Linked DNA regions of Schizosaccharomyces pombe. Changing the gene in region 1 together with any one later gene gives a genetic interaction. Each region holds a gene or a part of one and is shown in the gene's direction. Other genes may lie near its edges.

Region 1 (4,796 bases):
TAGCAATGTCATAGACTTCAAGTTCTCCTGATTTGTAAGCGGATACGATACACTTGTCGTTATTTATAAAGCTAGCAGCAAGTACATAACCACATTCGATTGTACGGATACAAGATGTGGTTTTCTTGTTCCAAAGCTTCAAAGAGCCGTTAGCACCGCTTAAAATCACATCGTGATTAGCGGACAAAGCCAAGGTACGAACGTCAGCACGATGACCAGGAATTTCAATGGCACTTATACGCGAAGCCCGTTCAGTTAATGGTGCAGCAGAACCTTCAGATTTGACATCCAAAGCGTAAACTTCAATTGAGTTATTTTGAAGAGATGTTACCAACGTAGGTGTACGATTTCCTGGTATCCAAGCTACAGACGAAGCACGAGCAGTGGTTCGAATTAGAGCAAAAGGTTCATATTCGTCTTTTAACGTGATCGAAACGTCCTCAGACTTTTTACGACGGCGTCGTCGATTCAGAATCTTTTCGAGCTCCGCACTTGATCGAAGGCGAAAAACCTCCAGAAGACGGTCATGAGCTTGGAATACAACATAACGGTTTGAAACGTCGTAAGCCAAGGTGATGGGACGGTCACGGCTTTGACGGGTAAAGGTACCTAATTGCTGAAATGCTTTAGTAGTTGGAGTGAAATTATTGTCATCTGGAAAACTGATTTCCCAAACTTTAACATCAGAACCGGTACCAGCAGTGAGGCACCGTTTGGCGTCTGGTGAAACACACATAGCCCAAATTTCGCCTTGGTGGTCGACATGAGTCTCAACGCAATGCTGAATAGACAAATCCCAAAGCTTCATAAAAGAATCTTTGCCAACAGACAAAAGAAACGAATCAGACGATTTACTGTCAACGTCCATGTCGCCGGAATCAATATCTGTGTCCACCACTGTTTCTTCAGCTGTATTCTTCGAAGGAGGTGTAATGAACAAAAGCTTGGTAATTTGGTCCTTGTGTCCACGTAGTCTAAACAAGCCGGTTTCAGCTACAATATCCCATACAATAATGTCGGTATCCATGCTTCCACTGGCCAATCTTGTGCCCATTTTATCAAAATCCATGGTAGTAACAGCACTTTTATGACCATTAAGAGTTATTAAGAGCTCTCCATCTTTCCAAAGACGTATAGAACCATCTGCATAGCCCACAGCGTACATTTCATCAAAGTTTGCAATACAAGTAACTTTTGCCGAACAATCAGAATCCTTCCATTTTGATAGTAATTGCCCAGTCTTTAAATCCCATTCCAAAACAGACTCAAGACCGCCAACAATGGCTCTGCCTACAGATTTAGCAGACGAAGAGGGTTGACCGAGAATATTACATCCCGAAGACGCAATGACACCAAAAAATTCGGTTGGTTCGTACCGCGTATAGCTTTTGACCATTGCGTCTACCCAGACCTAGATTAAAAAAAAGGCGTTGGTTGATGCTAAGTATATACACTCCTCTAATATTCAACAATTTGGAAAAGAAATAGCGATATACATTGTTATCGTTTTTTTATTTTAGCATTCCTTAATGCACTCCATAATACATTTTTGCATAGTTTATGGAATACTCATAATAATGTCGGTTGCGCAGTTTAATGAACTGCATTGAAAAGATTATTGATACACAATTAAGTTTTACCAGCTTTTCTGTTCTCTTTTCTTATTTGAAATACCGCTTGCGCTATTGAATGTGCTCATGAAAAAGGTCATAAATATTAATTAGACTAGCATCTTACAACATTGTGGTAGTGAGCCAATTTTTCCATGTAGACTTCAAAAATCATAGGTCTACTAAATTTAATTTTAAACTTGTTGGCAAGTTGCCAAAATAATTGCTGTTTGCGTATATTGACGTTAACACAATTCTCTTTTATTATTCTAGCAAGCCTGAAAAGCATTTGACAATCGATTAGGATACGATCAAAATTATCCTAATATTAGCCCATTAATCAATAATCTATAAACTATTTTCGAATTTCAGGACCAATTGGCAAAAAAATGCCACCCGCACATAAGAGAGATACCAACGTTAGAAACTTATCTGCACCATACAATATCCCATCTCAATCCGCTAGAGTCGCAGCTGGAAATGCAGCAATAAATAGGAGACGTTCTTCTCCAGTAGAGAATTCGCCAGGAAACGGATTTCCGGTTTCAGAAGATGCAACAGACTATCCTTCAGGCACTACCTCTGAGAATGAGTCTTTACCACTGAATCGTGCACCAAGGTCGCTAAGAGAGGTTGCTTCGGAGCTAGCACAAGAAGAAACACTACCTGTTGAAACCTCTGATTTAAACATAGATGTGGAAAGTGAAGTATTCGACTTGGAAGACATTAATTTTCAGAATGATGCTGATGACATAAATCAAAGATTCACCTACAACAATCATCCAGCTTCCGTTGAAAACAGTTTAACAAATGTTAATAGTATTCACGCGCAACCTACTACTATAAGCGATATGATTGATTTAACTGATGAGACTTCCTATGATCCAAGAAAACAAAAATTTGAACAGGGAAAGAACCCATCGACCACCAACGCCGAAATTGAAAAAGAAGAACCTAGCAAAAAACAGGTTGTTCCATCTTCACAACGACTAGCTGATTATAAGTGTGTAATTTGTCTGGATAGTCCGGAAAACCTATCTTGTACTCCCTGTGGGCATATATTTTGCAATTTTTGTATACTAAGTGCTTTAGGTACAACGGCTGCCACACAAAAATGTCCGGTGTGCAGAAGAAAAGTACATCCAAACAAAGTTATATGTTTGGAAATGATGCTCGGATCTCAAAAAAAGAAATCTTAACCGTACAAAATTCCGTATATACATATTAAGAATGTTAATGAAAGATGTGTGATGCACTGCTCAATGCTTTTTGCGGTTTATACACATCAAAATTGAGAATTGATTAAGAGCAAGTTATGCTAGTCATTACAAATTTTCAGTCCTTTGAATTTGCTCTCCAATCTGAGTCCCAGATAAAGAACCTGCATTGGAACGGTTGAGTATCTTCCTCAGAAACTGCATTTGAGTTTTTAATCAGTTCACCAACCGGTCTGGCACAAATCCAAAACTTCCGCCCGTAATTGATTCCCGGCTTCCTCACTGTCAAATACTTGCAAGGTTCCTTGTGACCCTCACAAAGTGGAGGAGCTCGTTCACTGAATATTTGCTTCCAGGCGTTCCCGTTTTCTACTTTTTTTTTTACTGTCAACCCTATGTCAGATTCATTATTGTTATCAAGGACCTCAATCGAAACGTCTTCTGTTTTATTGGTTTCTTCTTTCTCTTCCTTTTGCTTCGCAAAAAATGAAAGAAGCTTCGATTGTTCTTTTCGTCTTCTCTTTTCCGGTGGGTAGGCATCGACGTCTATGACAGAGTTTGCACGAGAAACAGTTGGTGAGGAGCCGCTGGACGCAGAAGCAGATACGTTTTCGCTCTGAGTGGGTGAGTTGTTTTTATTCTTTTTCATCGAATTGAAATGTTGGAACATTGAATGAATATTTTTTGATGGCCGATAGGCTGAATGATGCGCCGTTGATAGTAAAGGTGGTTCTTTTGAGTGACTTAGAAAGTTGGACAACTTTTTTCCTTCATATTCTTCTTTTAAATCTAAATATACGGGGCAATGATCTGAACCCATGACCTCAGCCATAATATCTGCATCTTGAACCCAAGGTAATAAATCGGGTGTTGCCAAAGTGTAATCAATTCTCGTACCTATCCATTGTAAAAAAAATAACAATTCAGAACTTACCATAATTTGTGGGCCTTGTATTAAGTCTTGTATTCCAACATGTAAACATTCCTTTCCGAGTAGGATGTTGAATACGGCCAATGTCCAACAGTAGTCCCAACCTGCTTGGTAGTAATAAATCACGTATCCATTGTCTTGATTCCATGATGCTTGGAATAAGACTCTCTCGAATAATGTCTTTTTGATCAGCAGTGTCAATAGGATTACACAAAATATTCACATCCCCAACGAGAATGATTTTTCGATTTCCTTCCTTTATCAATCTTTCAATTCTTTCTCGTAAGGCTTTATAAAAGGCCCGTCGATATTCTAGTCTATTTTCTCCAGAGTTTACTGGACAGTAAACACCGATTAGGATGAACATCTGAAAATCTAATAATATACACCTTCCTTCACTATCAATCCAATTAGCAGTTTTTCTGTCAATGTCTTTTGGGAAAAATCCTATCTTTTCATGCTCCGGTGCTTCTGAATATGAATATTTTTGTCCTCGTACTGGCAGGATGCCAGTAATTCCCTCTTCTGCTTTCACTGGAATAGCAACATCTTTTTTTACATAAAATCCAACCCCACTATAGCCTTTTCTGATCTTAGGAAATGTAAAATAACTGTCGAATCCCTCAACAACTGCATATTGTTGAGGAAAGCTGTCTTTCTGCATTTTCAATTCTTGAACACATATTACATCAGCCTGTAACTCTTGAAATATCTCTTTGTAGGAATTTTTTTTATTCCATGGAAAATAATTGAATGGATTCTGTATACCGTTCACATTCCAACTTAGAATTCGCATTCTTATAATTTTTACGTAGAGAAAGTGTGCGAAGGTAAAGGCGACAGACTTTTGAATTTACAATTGTTGACATAAGTTAATCTGATGGAAAATAAAATGCATTTGTTTAATTCGAGAATGAACTTTTTCTTTTCTTTTCGACCTTCTCCCTATTGAATGTTGATTTTCAAAAAAATTCTAGATTGACTAATATTGAGTTACAACTGTAAACAATCTAATGATTCTTTCTAAATATATGTCAT
Region 2 (6,373 bases), on another chromosome or scaffold:
AACTAGTAAATTTGTTGAGTATTTTAACCACTGCATGGTAGTCACTTCACCCATCGCGAATAGAAAAGAGCATTAATATGTAAATCTGAAAATTTTTTTTATTCTTAAATGCACTATCAAAGCTAGCTTTAAAATATATGTTTGTACAATCGACACAAATGATGAAAACAAGCACATCAATATATTTATATTATTACAAAAACGATCAATAATCTGTAAAATTCTAATATTTTTCTCTTTTAAGAGTAGTAATAAGCAATAGATAACTCTTTAAATTCACGCCTTCTGTTTCTTAATAAATTAAGCTTCTTATTAAGCGAATTTATACAGCAATTAGTACATCGTTAGGTATATGCAACGCCATAGAAAAGGGTACTTAAAGTCAATCCGCTCACGTGAAATGAACATTGCACATTGCAATATCAACATCTTTTATCATTACTGGTTTCAATAGGTTTAAAGGATAAAATTATATATTTATAATATGGTAATTGCTTTATCTGATTCTTTTATCGAAAATCCAAGATCGTTTCTTCAAAGATTTCAGGATGCATTGTTTGCAGGATCTAAGCCCGATTTACAAGGCACTTTAGGCATCGATGAAGAAGTTTCTAATATTTTCGCTACAGAGGAAAGAATAAGAAAGGTTTGTTAAGTGGTTTTTTCTCTTATTTGACACTGAATATTTAGATTCCAAACTATCTTGACTGCAAATGGTCTGAGTTAAAGACTGGTCAACTACTTCGTCTTCAAGGTATGGTGCAAGACACCAATTTTGGGCATGAATTTTTTGCTGGAGCTGTAGAGGTAAATGAAAACATTTGGAGAGGCTGTAGATACATACTTGATTTCAGCGAAGATGAAATGCATTTAGATGAATCTAAAATTGTCCTAGATGAAAGATATTCACTGTTTCTGACAAATGTTCCTGGAGAAAGAACTCTTCCTGTTATAGAAGCTTTGGGAAACTGGGGAAGCGAGAGTCTGAAAGAACGGTCATTGAAGTACTCAAACCGCTTACAAGCAAGTAATGATACCGGCGTTTGTGTTAAATGCTATGGCGGAATGGAAACTAAAGTTCAAGTTTGTCAAGCAATCGATGTTATTGGAATTTATGAAGAACCAAGTGAATACTCGGATGGTTTACCCATTTTACACATGTTATGTTTTAAGGATTATACGCAATCAGCTACTCAAGCCCCTTCTCCTCAGCAAGCTGAGATCATTCGACCAAAAATATTAAAATATTTTGAAAAAGTCCTTGGTGAAAATATAGCTGCGGAAAGTCTTATGCTTGCTCTTCTTTCCAACGTTGTTCATAAAACCACTGGTTTGGTTATAGGTGGTTTTACTTTAAATTTAACAAATTGCACCTCTGAATTAGTGTCCCAGTTAGTTTCTGTGTTACGGCCTTTGATAAAAAGAATGGTGATTCAAAAAGTTAATGTCGCCGAGCTTAACAGGAAGCCGCTTTATCCCTTGAGTGATGGAGAGACATTAGATACTAGCCATTTGCAAGTGGCTCCTGGCACCCTTATAGTTCTTGATGAAACTGAACTATCGAGTGGAACCTTAAACGATGTCGGATGCCGTAACGTTCAGTTTTTGTCTTCCCTAATATCTCAACAGGATTTAACATTTTTTTATCCTTTCAGTTCTTTTACCGTTCACAGTAATGTTCGAATAATTATATTAAGCCATGGAAGATCTATTTTGCCAGCTGATGTCGGTTGTAGATGTAGAGGCGATTCTCCGGACACTATTGAATTTCCAACTGATTCGGATGAGCTGCAAGAGTTTTGTAATTTTTTTCACATGTGGAACATGCGTGCTAATATTCCCGAAAACATGCTGGATTATATTCAATCTACATATGTGAGCTCCCGTCAATATAATAAAGAAATCAATGAAAAAACACTTTCATTACAGATCAATTGCTCTCGTCTCTACGCGAAGAGTTTCGGTCGTCAACTGGTTTCAAGAATTGATTTTGAGGCTGCCCGTAGTCTAATCAATCATTGGACTGTCAACTGATTGATCGCATATTTTCTTATAATCAACATCATTTAACCAATGTTAGAAATTACTTTTCATGTCTTTTTGGAATTTCCAAGTTAATTTCCTCATTCATTCGATCAAATTCATCAAAAGTTCATTTATATTGTTATTTAATTATTACTACAAGTAAAGCTCACTTGCCCGTTTTTTTTTTGTTTTCTTACATTATCACATACCGCACTGCCATATACTTCCTTATCTTCAAATATTAAATTCAAGTTTTGCCAACCAGGCGTTTGCAGAGATTCAAGGAATAAATATAATTCATTGTATTTTTAGCTAAAATTTGATTTCTTTGTCTTTCAAATACCTATACGGAAGCAGTCATTGCATATAACATATGTGTAAATCGACGGTTTAGGCAAGCAGTCTAAAAACTCAATGAACCAGGCGAACTTTTTACAGGAGCTTCCAGTAAGCCCAATAATAAGATATTTACAAGTTAACTAACAAAATGAATGTTTAGAATGTACTAAAGCGACTGGAAACTGGTCTTATTATACCTCAACTGAAAGATATACTTCGTGTTTTTGGACTTCGTCTTTCAGGAACAAAAGCTGAGCTCATTACCAGAATTAAACAACTAATAGAGAGGATAGCTATAGAAAACAACACAACCTCTTGGGAAGCATTGAAAAAGGCAATCGATGGCGATGTTACAAGTGCCGTATGTATCTTAAAGTACAACACATATCAGATATATAGTGCTGCTGCTCCAATTGCTCCACCTAGTTCAGCTTCTGGAAATAGATCATACAGCCGTCCTTTCGCCCCAGTTGTTCATTCGCGAATACGATTTCGAAAAAGTCCCTTTTATGACATTTTGGAACAATTCAATGCACCTTTCGTTGTACCTGCTTGTGTCGGCACTCGTAATACTATCTCCTTCTCTTTTCATGTAACTCCCCCTGCTCTATCAAAATTACTTAATGATCCTAAACAATATCGTGTTTATCTTTTTTCTACGCCCTCAGAAACCATAGGCTTCGGTAATTGCTTAATGGAGTTTCCAACTCCTCAAATGGAGTTGCGTATAAATAATCAAGTTGCTCATGCTAATTATCGAAGGCTGAAGGGGAAACCTGGGACAACAAATCCGGCTGACATAACCGATTTAGTCTCCAAGTACGCCGGTCCTCCTGGTAATAACGTTGTCATTTACTATATGAATTCTACAAAAAGCTATTCTGTTGTGGTTTGCTTTGTTAAAGTGTATACAATTGAAAACCTTGTGGATCAAATAAAGAGCAGAAAAGCTGAGTCAAAAGAAAAAATTATTGAGCGTATAAAAAATGACAATCAGGATGCCGATATTATCGCTACATCAACTGATATATCTTTAAAGTGCCCCTTGTCTTTTTCTCGAATATCACTACCAGTGCGATCTGTATTTTGTAAGCATATCCAATGCTTTGATGCTTCTGCTTTTCTAGAAATGAATAAACAGACACCTTCTTGGATGTGTCCAGTATGCGCTTCCCATATCCAGTTTTCCGACCTTATAATTGATGGTTTTATGCAACATATTTTAGAAAGTACTCCAAGCAATTCAGAAACTATTACTGTTGATCCCGAAGGAAACTGGAAACTAAATACGTTTGATGAACCCGTCGAAAGCTCGGAAGATGAATTTGTACCAAAAGAAAAGGTAATCGAATTGAGCGATGGGGAAGGTATCTCTACGATGGCTAACAAGTCCAATGATCAACCTACGAGGAGGGCATCTACTCATAATTCTGGTCCACCTGCAAAGAGGAAACGTGAGTCACTTGTAATTGATTTAACAATATCTGATGATGATGAAAATGTGGCAACATCCACGACGGAATCGCCATCTAATGCTACAAAGGAGAACTCTTTGAGTCGAAATGTACAGTCACCTAACATCGACACTGCCATATCGAACAGGTCAACAAACGTCAGACATGGTCACCCGGGGTTCAAAGACTACACGGTTGAAAACTCCCCAGCATCAAGAGAGCGTTCTACAAGTGAAAGCGCTCAATCCTCTGTCCATATGGGATATGCTGGCGAAGGCGGACTGTTATCCGGTGCTTTAAGGGCCCCTTCTCAACAAAATAATAACAATTCGAATACACAGCACTCAATAAACTTACATACAATAGTGCCGTCTCCTTATGAACCACCCTTATCCGTTACTCCTTCAACGGCAATTACTAATCTCTCCATACCAGAAAGTAACAGGACTAATTCATCTGCCAGTTCTAAAAGCTTCACCATGAATGATTTAATTCTTCCACCGTTGCACTTGAAAAATACAACTCAAACTAATAACGCACATGAGGATGCCCAGTCGTCCAATCTCTCTCAAAACCATAGTCTGTTTTATGAAAGAATACCCCAACGACCCTCTTATAGAATTGAAAAGCAAAATAAGGGTATATATGAAGATGAGAATGAACAAAGTATTTCTGCGATGCCCATACCTCGAGCACATCCTCAACTGCCAAAGAATTTGTTGTCGCAGACGGCTGGACCGCTGTGGGATGAACAACAAGATGCTCAAGTAGACTGGAATTCTGAGTTACAGTCAAATAACTCCTATCATAATTCCGGATTTGAAGGAACGGGAAACACTTTTCAGAGTATAGATTAATAACTGTGAATAACGTTATGCTAATTACCATTATATTATTAGTTTAAATTAAATCTCAACTTTTTTATTTACAATACAGTCTCAAAAAACAAAGCCAACATCTACAAGCTATCGTATACAATCAAGCCTATTATCAATCATGGAAGCATAATAGAGATTTGTTTATAGTCCTTTAAAGATTTTATTTAAAACCATCAGTCTAAGCAACAGTCTTCTTGGGGCGTTGAGAAGAAAGAATAGCGGAGGCACGGGCAACGGAAACCTTGACAAGATCATCACGATAGCCAGTTCTGCCGATACGACCAGCAATGCTCTTATAGGTCTTACGAGAAGAAGCGTTGGCAATGACATCCTTGCGGAAAAGCTTGGCAGGCTTTTGAGCATTCTTGGGATTGGTCTTGGTAATTAAAACAACACCACGGGGGCTGTTAGCTTGGACACCAACGGCTTTGTCATTGCAGAGACCAGAGAAGCGTTGAGCGTTCTTGCCAGAAACGTTAACGGGCTCACGGTTGAATTGAATGCCACCGAATTCGGGACGCTTAACAAGAAAGCGGTTGTTGTCACGGATAACTTGCCAGATGAGATCGTTGCTAACAGACATGGTGAAAGTGCTGGACAAATTCACATGCCAAAGTTTGGAAAGTACTTGCATGTGACTGCCTTTTTTGTAAAGGTCAAAATATTTTGTATTTCCCAAATATCGAGATAAATTGAAGTACGTTAAATGTTTAGATTGAATTTCTCGTTTTAAGTAAATGATAATGTTTGAACAGCCCAGTTTTCATTTGTATTTAGATCATTCAGTTGCTTTTAGACTTGCTTCCAATGAAAGCTTCACAATGAATACCGTGTAAGTTGCCTGATCATATAAAGCTGATTACCAATTTGAGTAAGTATTTAAGCTTGCGATATTTTTGTTGGTGTAATTATCCTTAGCAATGGTACTCTTGTTTTTATAAAGGAGTATATGTTGCTTATGTTATGGCTTAACAGACGTTTCTGAAAACTTAACACAAATTATTGATATCAAAGTTGCATACCAAGCATTCAAACAATCTCATAAATTGAAAATGAAGTAAATTTATTATTTCTTTCCGGACTTTAACAGTGGAATGTTTAAAGAATTAATAATTAAAGATCTACAAAAATAATAACCTACAGCACCCCGGATTCCCATGTTGTCTCCAACCATAGTACTAACGAGGCCCTCAGACGCTTAACTGCAGTGATCGAACGGGAACTGGTGTTTTCGCCTAGGTATGGCCGTAGATATTCGTTCTAAGAATTTAATTAATTTAATGTGTAAACAGTTGTCCGAACGGTAGCAAACTTAGCGGAATCATGTTATGGTAAACTAAATTCCGTTACAACTTTCCTTTTTTTTAGAATTTTATAAATACACAAGAAGAATACACTAACTAATTATTTAAAGAGCACAAGTTGTTTATCTGATTTTTTTGGCAGAGTAGATTTTTTTTGAAGTAAAAGTTTAGGGTTTATGAGAAATGCGACAACAAATACTCACTCAAAACAACTTACTTAAAATGGTGTATATTTAAAGTTGATATAAGGATTTTATCCTTTGAAGAAATGTTAAAGCCATTCCGTCTTGAATGATGATTAACTGCTGTAAAAAAGATAGAAAAACCATTGCTTACTTGTAGATGAACTTGTTAATTTGTGATACTAGAATGA
Region 3 (6,574 bases), 1.2 Mb from region 1:
GACGACCACTAGTTTTATCGGTAGGAATACGAACCGAAGGAACTTGACCTGCGCGTTTGAAATGAAGTTGTAGAGTTTCAACAGAAGAATCCTTAGGCAAATTACCAACAAACAAAATGACCTTTCTGTCATTATTTTTCCCTTTCTGTCGTTTGCTTTTCAAAGTTTTATGAGGGGGATTTGAAACGCTATGTTTATCTTTATCATTTGATTGTGCTAGTTGCTTTTCTGGTAGTTCATCTCTCGATATTTTGTCAGCGGCTTTCTTTTCTAATTCCTCATTCTTTTGCTGTACTTTCTTCTCATGCTCTTCCAAACTTTGCGACTTTTTATCAAATTTTTTGGAGCGGTATTCCAAAGATTTTAATTTCTTTTTCGATAGTTTCGAAGACATTAAATAAAAATTTGATAATGGAGAATTGAAGGTGTTCAGTACAAAAGTTCCTCTATCCATAGGCAAGAATATTTTAACGATGTTTACCCTTCTGACAGAATGTATACATAACAAAGTTTCTTAAAACTTCGTTAAACAAATCTGGAAAGTACAATTGCACCATCGCTAGACAATATCAGAAGTCTCTTGTTCAACGAAGTAAGATAAAATTTAAAGAAATAATAACAAGTTAATTAGTGTTATATTTAGAAAAATGTCATTGCAGTACATTCAGTCATTATTAGATATTATTAGATATATAAATAAAATCATAAGTCCCCTTCAACAATAACTAAGTTTTCGGATTCTTCATCTGTGTTCGACTCTCCTTTGCTTTTTTCAGATTTATCAAGAATAGCTAAATCCGGAACTTCTTTTTCGTTATTTTTTGCTTTTTTGTCTTTCACTTTAGAGGTACCATCCCCATAACGATCTAATATGCTTTGATCAATATGTTTCTGGGTAGTCATACGAGATGCCTTGTTTTTTCGAAATTCCAGCTCACCAGCTGTTGGATTGGCTACAACATGGACACGAGTTCCAGAACGCTCAGCTTCCCAGGCAAACATTTGTAGTTTTTCGAAGTCTTCTTTTTCACCACCAGATGCTTTGACAAAGCCAGCACCTCCAGAAGAATCATCCACCATATGATATCCAGTTTCGTCTCTCATTGATCTGGATTTGGGTTCATATTGTAAGTTTTTATTGTCAGCTCGCAAATACGCCACCACATCTTCTCGCATTCTAAGGCTTGGTGTAGTTATGGATGCAGAATCTTCGGAACCAGAAACGGTGGAATTTCTTGATGCTTTAACAGCAGAATTTTCTGACGCATCCCTATTCTCTTCCCCCTTATTTTGTAATTCGTCCAATTTTTCATATCTCTCAATAACTTTCTTATAATCCGTGGCATCATAGCCATTCCAACGATCACGTTTCGCATCCCATGAAACGTTGATATCTTGAATAACTTCGTCTGCTTGAATATCTTCTCCTGTCCAACGAGCACCCCGCTTTCTTGGTCGCTCCATGCAATCTTTAACTTTATGGGACATGGCTCCACAATTCTCACAAGCACCCTTTCGATATTTTGTAGCAGCAGGTCCTAATTTTTTCCCTCTAACGTACCAAGAGCCTTCAATGGAGGAACGACCACCACTTGGTGTCTCTTTCTTGCCTATCCTTTGATGGGCTAATCTTTCGACCGCATCATCATCCTGAGCATACCAAGGAGCGGTTGAAATGAATTTAGGAATATAGGGATTATCAGCATCTGGATTATCCATAGGACGACTACGACGCTTCTGTGCCTTCATTTCACGCATCGAAGGTCCAATGTCTGTTGACATAAAGTTTTTGTCCTTAGAATAATCATAATTAGATTGAAAAGTATTATTCATATAAGACATTTTTAAGGTAAATAAATAAGAATATTAATGCTTGATTATTATGCCAATTAATTCGAAAATATTAAAAAGATTCAAGTAAAGGTTTAACACCGATGAAATCAACAAAATTGTCTTTTATAACAAAACGATATAAACCGGCTTATTTATCGACGGCTTTATTTTTATAGTTCGACAAATATTTGCTAGCGTTTCAAAAATTCTTGTAGATTTGCAGTTTACGGTTTTCTAACCATTGTTATAAGCAGAGTAAACGTAGTAAGCAAATAATTAACGTAGCTTTAAGACACAACTAAACAAAATAGTGGAGTAGATTTATACACGTTATATTATATACCACATTACGCTATTCTTGCTTCAAACAATCACAACAGTCATTCCTGATCTATGAGAATTTGATTGTACCCCCCTGTACCTGTATATTCGATTTTATATAGTATCTGAGAAAAAATGTCTGAATCACCATCAGCAAACATTTCTGATGCTGACAAAAGTGCTATCACTCCTACCACAGGTGACACTTCGCAACAAGATGTCAAACCATCCACAGAGCATATCAATTTGAAAGTTGTCGGACAGGTGTGTGCTACAGCAAGAGACTTTCATGCTATTCCTGTCATCTTTTGCTTTCAAAAGTCTTTAATGCACGAATCGTGAAGCTAACTTGATGTAGGATAACAACGAAGTATTTTTCAAAATTAAAAAGACCACTGAGTTCAGCAAGTTAATGAAGATTTATTGTGCACGACAAGGAAAAAGTATGAACAGCTTACGTTTCCTTGTTGATGGGGAACGTATTCGTCCAGATCAAACACCTGCTGAGGTAAGTTTTAAACTTTTACAACAAAAGCCGGTACTAACTATACATTTAGCTTGATATGGAAGATGGCGATCAAATTGAGGCTGTCTTAGAACAGTTAGGTGGTTGCACCCATCTATGCCTTTAGAGTACAAGTATTTTTAAGCTGTTTCATATACTCAAAACTAATATTTTGATTTTGCCAATACGTTTATCATCTCCAGCATCGTCGCTCAAAATATTTGAAAGAATCAATGAAATTAAATAAAATGATTTATATTAAAATTATTTTTTTTTAATACAAGTTTTTCCAAACGTTATTGCCTGCCTGCCAATATATCAATTTGACTGACATAAAGTTCACGCATATCCTTAATGTCCAGCTCTAATTCAAACACTTTGTCACTTTTCTGCTTAAGTGTTACCAACGTACTGGCATGCTCTTTTTCGAGGTTCTGTAATTGTAGTCTAAGCTCTTCCACTTGCTTTTTTGAATCTTCATTTGCATCATTATTTACATAGGCATCAACAATTTCTTGACGGGCCTGATCTCTTTGGATTATAAGTTGCGCTACTTGCTGCTTAGTTGTTTGTAGTTCGGCTTCTAATCGGCGAATTGTGGTAGCAAGTTGCTCCAAAAGACTAACATCAGGAACATTCCCGGCACCTTTTTCAAGATTGCTGGGTGTCCCTGATGTTGGTGATATTGCCTCAGATTCGTATAGGCTAAATTTTCTTGAAGCTTCCGAAGGAGGAGAAAGAACTGCACTGCTTATGGAAGCATACCTTGACTGAGCGTTTATACCCAACTTTCGCGCTTCTGATGCTGATCTGGAAATTCTGGATCTCTCTTCTGAAGGGGAAGGAAGATTATCCAAAAAGTTTTCTAAAGCATTCCGTGTATCGCTTTGTGGGATTTCTGAAAAACTCAAAGGAGATGGTTGCGGACTTGTTGAAATATTTAAGGGATGTAGGTCGTCAAAATAATTATCTTTGTCATTTTCTAAAGCTTCATCACGCTTGCTCATAGATGAAGGTATCGGAATAGCATTAGTAGGGGTAGTGGGATCTTCATCTTCTTTGGTGACTTTAAGCGTATCTACCTTTCCAACCGTATAATCATTATTTTCAGGAATTCCTCCTGTAGTGACAATTTTTTTAGGCTTAGATTTAACATTACTTCTTATATTAGTGTCAAGCTCCCTTTGTAATCGGTCTAGTTGTGTTTGTAAGTCCAAATTTTGGGCTGCTAAAGTATCATTTTCCTCTCTCAATGTCATATTAAAAGCCTGAGAACTCCTTATTTCTTCATCTTTCCTTTCACAAAGTTTCTCCAATGAATCTAACTGTTTAGACATTTGAGATACTTGATTCTGGAAAGTCTCACGTTCCCTTTCCCAATTCTTTGCACCATGCTCGGATTTCTCATAAAGTTCTTTCAGGTCTTGAATTTCCTTTTTCTTCTTTTCATCTTCACGTACCCATTGACTCCTTTGAATCGAATACTGGGTTGAGAGGGTCTCTACTTGACGCGTAAGACGAACAACCTCCATGCTTTCTACTGTAAGTTCTTCCATTTTTCTTTGAAGATCCTCCTTTTCTTTCTCTAAAATTGATATCCTCTTTTCAAATTGAGACTTTTGTAGTTCCAATTGTTCCTCCATCTCCTTTGAGTCAGATACCTGTAATTCCGGAGTCGCTTGTTTCTCGTCTAGGCGCTTCAACTTTGTTTCAGCTTCACTTAAACTCTTTTTAAGTTGCTTAATTGTATTGTTTAACTTTAACTCATTTTTTGAAAGCGCCTGTCCTTCCGTAAGAAGCTTTGCGATAATCTCATCTTTTGATTTTGCATTTCCTCGTGACATCTCCTCAATCTGATTACCGTCTAAGACTTTGTCAATACTGGTTTCAACATTTGACATTGCTTTCTTAAGAAAACCTCCCCATTTTGAATTCTCCATGCCTGCTTCACCGTACACTGGCTGGTAGTTGATCTGTGTACTCTACGTGGTATAGGCCCACTTTACTTTATGAACGTAAAATAAAAGATTTCTAAGTGCATATGCCTCGCACGTCAATTTGTACATATGTTTACTTTAGTCTATTGGTGAAGGATAAAAAAAGAAATTTAGATAAGAACATTATAATAAAGGGCTACATTTCAACAAATTAGTGTAGTTCGGATTTTTAGCTATCAGCATATGAATGAGAAAGCCGTCGTGTTCGTACAGGAAAGAAGTGAAATATTATTCATCAAAAATTTGAAATAGTGGAACTCATTGATGCATTATTGAAAATTGTGAAAGTTTGCCTACCAGACTCGACAGGTGATGAATGGAGTAAGAAATATTGATAAAAATTTCGAACACGTATCGACTGTTTTTAACGCACTTAATGAAATCATCAATATGAAAAATTAAGTGCCTAACTTTTTGCCCTTCCCAATGAATGTTCCAGACACCTTTTGGGAATTCAATTTGGGAGAGTTGGAGCGATGGACAACAGGAGTGTGAATCGAATCAAAAAAATTGACGATCATTGCAGAGATAATACCAAAACCCAATACTACTAGAGATGGAAGACCTCCGGTTAGAAAGCTGAAGCCAAGAAGAACATATGGCAAATATTTGCCTTGAACATGAAAACCAAACAAAAACTGGATTTTGGAAAATGAGTTAAACAAAGACCAATTATAAGCAATGGCAGCGGCAAGCGATTGATTTAACGCGCTTCCAAGTCCTGAGATCAAGGAAAATGCCTAAAGAGAAACGTTAATAAGCATACTTTAGACCTTCAAATACTCCTTACATCAATTAAAAGAGCAACTTTAACTAAATAAATAATGTATTTTTTTGCATTCCTAGCAAAGACAAAGTTTTCCAGGTATGTGCTATATTGGTAAACTATTGACAAAACGTTAGAATTTAAATACAGGTTTTAATGGATTTACGTACAAAAATAAATGTTCATGATAAAATCAAATCCAGTTCCAGCATAGAGATAATTAGTAAATAAACGATACCATTGTTTCTGACGAACGACTAACGGATAATGCAGAACTAGCATCGAAGGTGAAAGAAGTTGACATAAAGTTAAAATTGTGGTAGCTGCTGTTCCAAGCAGAATATACCTTGTTACAGGAGGTATTCTAGACAGCAATTCTTGTATTTGACCGGAAAATTCCGAAGCCATGTCTTAACTGATTATGTTTGTTCAGGCAAGGTTGTATACGGAATTGTGCTACAATTACTAACGTATCGAACATTTTCATATATATGTACTATAGTAAAATATAAGTTATTAAATCTCTAACTTAGATCAAGTGAAAGCAAAATTATATGAAATTTGGAGCTTTCATGTATTTTACAGCACCTTCAAATCAAGTAGACTAAGCTAGCAGAAAGGCTACTAAATAACACATATACGGTTAAATAAGCTACATTAAAAGTAAAAGTACAAGTACAAGCGTATTTTTTTTATAAATAATAAACCAATAAATAAATTCTCACTTTTGAAGCCTTTTAAAAACGTCAATTCTCCGGTTAGAGCTTTATATTGCGTCTTTTCTCTCTCATTGTTTCTTGAGCAATAATGTCTTCAACAGCTGACCGTGGCCTTTTTACATTCTGCCCTTGATCTAAAGAATCCTTATTGTTCTTTTTACGGCTTTTATTCAGCTCTGCAAAAACATTTTTTGGTTTGTGCTTCAAGGAGGTCTGGGAGGATGAACTAGAAAAAGAAAATGTGGGTGTATTTCTTGTTTGAAAAAATTCATTTTGAGCAGAGTGAGAATCTGAAGATGAGGATAAATTAAGTTGAATCGGGTTTCCTTTTTTTGAAAGATCAATCTCATGTAGTACAGGTTGCTCCCTTGAACTTCCATCCTTATTGTCCTCGTTATTCTGTGCTGATTCATAAGCACGCTTAATCTGTTCA

Evidence for each region.
Region 2: of slx8 (region 1) and pli1, a mutation in one rescues a mutant of the other (synthetic rescue), as found in Schizosaccharomyces pombe (5 studies listed by BioGRID, with this or other methods).
Region 3: of slx8 (region 1) and pmt3, a mutation in one rescues a mutant of the other (synthetic rescue), as found in Schizosaccharomyces pombe (4 studies listed by BioGRID, with this or other methods).

The regions. Positions count from the first base shown.
Region 1 is NC_003423.3:1,287,164-1,291,959, reverse strand, and holds slx8 (SUMO-targeted ubiquitin-protein ligase E3 Slx8), read left to right. Parts: upstream 1-1,748; 5' UTR 1,749-1,999; coding exon 2,000-2,809; 3' UTR 2,810-2,945; coding exon of another isoform or gene 2,946-3,724; 3' UTR 3,725-3,761; downstream 3,762-4,796. Other genes in the region: U3 snoRNA associated protein Dip2, read right to left, coding at 1-1,396; AP-endonuclease Apn2, read right to left, coding at 2,946-3,724, 3,762-4,554. UniProt on the Schizosaccharomyces pombe protein: Mediates ubiquitination and subsequent desumoylation/degradation of sumoylated proteins and proteins containing SUMO-like domains. Acts as a critical suppressor of gross chromosomal rearrangements (GCRs) during normal cell cycle progression.
Region 2 is NC_003424.3:906,400-912,772, forward strand, and holds pli1 (SUMO E3 ligase Pli1), read left to right. Parts: upstream 1-2,296; 5' UTR 2,297-2,439; coding exon 2,440-2,472; intron 2,473-2,524; coding exon 2,525-4,675; 3' UTR 4,676-4,874; coding exon of another isoform or gene 4,875-5,279; 3' UTR 5,280-5,455; downstream 5,456-6,373. Other genes in the region: mini-chromosome maintenance complex-binding protein mcb1, read left to right, coding at 485-646, 691-2,034; rpl44 (ribosomal L28e protein family domain-containing protein), read right to left, coding at 4,875-5,279. UniProt on the Schizosaccharomyces pombe protein: Acts as an E3 ligase mediating SUMO/Smt3 attachment to other proteins. Involved in the maintenance of the centromere and in telomere length. Regulates recombination, via extension sumoylation, particularly within the heterochromatin repeats.
Region 3 is NC_003423.3:2,504,605-2,511,178, forward strand, and holds pmt3 (small ubiquitin-like modifier pmt3), read left to right. Parts: upstream 1-2,240; 5' UTR 2,241-2,289; coding exon 2,290-2,418; exon of another isoform or gene 2,419-2,512; coding exon 2,513-2,662; exon of another isoform or gene 2,663-2,711; coding exon 2,712-2,786; 3' UTR 2,787-2,955; coding exon of another isoform or gene 2,956-4,599; 3' UTR 4,600-5,054; coding exon of another isoform or gene 5,055-5,396; 3' UTR 5,397-5,446; coding exon of another isoform or gene 5,447-5,541; intron 5,542-5,559; 3' UTR 5,560-5,592; downstream 5,593-6,574. Other genes in the region: SPOM_SPBC365.04C (RNA-binding and ribosome biogenesis protein), read right to left, coding at 1-394; splicing factor Slu7, read right to left, coding at 703-1,842; tmf1 (TATA element modulatory factor-like protein), read right to left, coding at 2,956-4,599; Der1 family protein, read right to left, coding at 5,055-5,396, 5,447-5,541, 5,593-5,830; kin17 (KIN17-like protein), read right to left, coding at 6,181-6,574.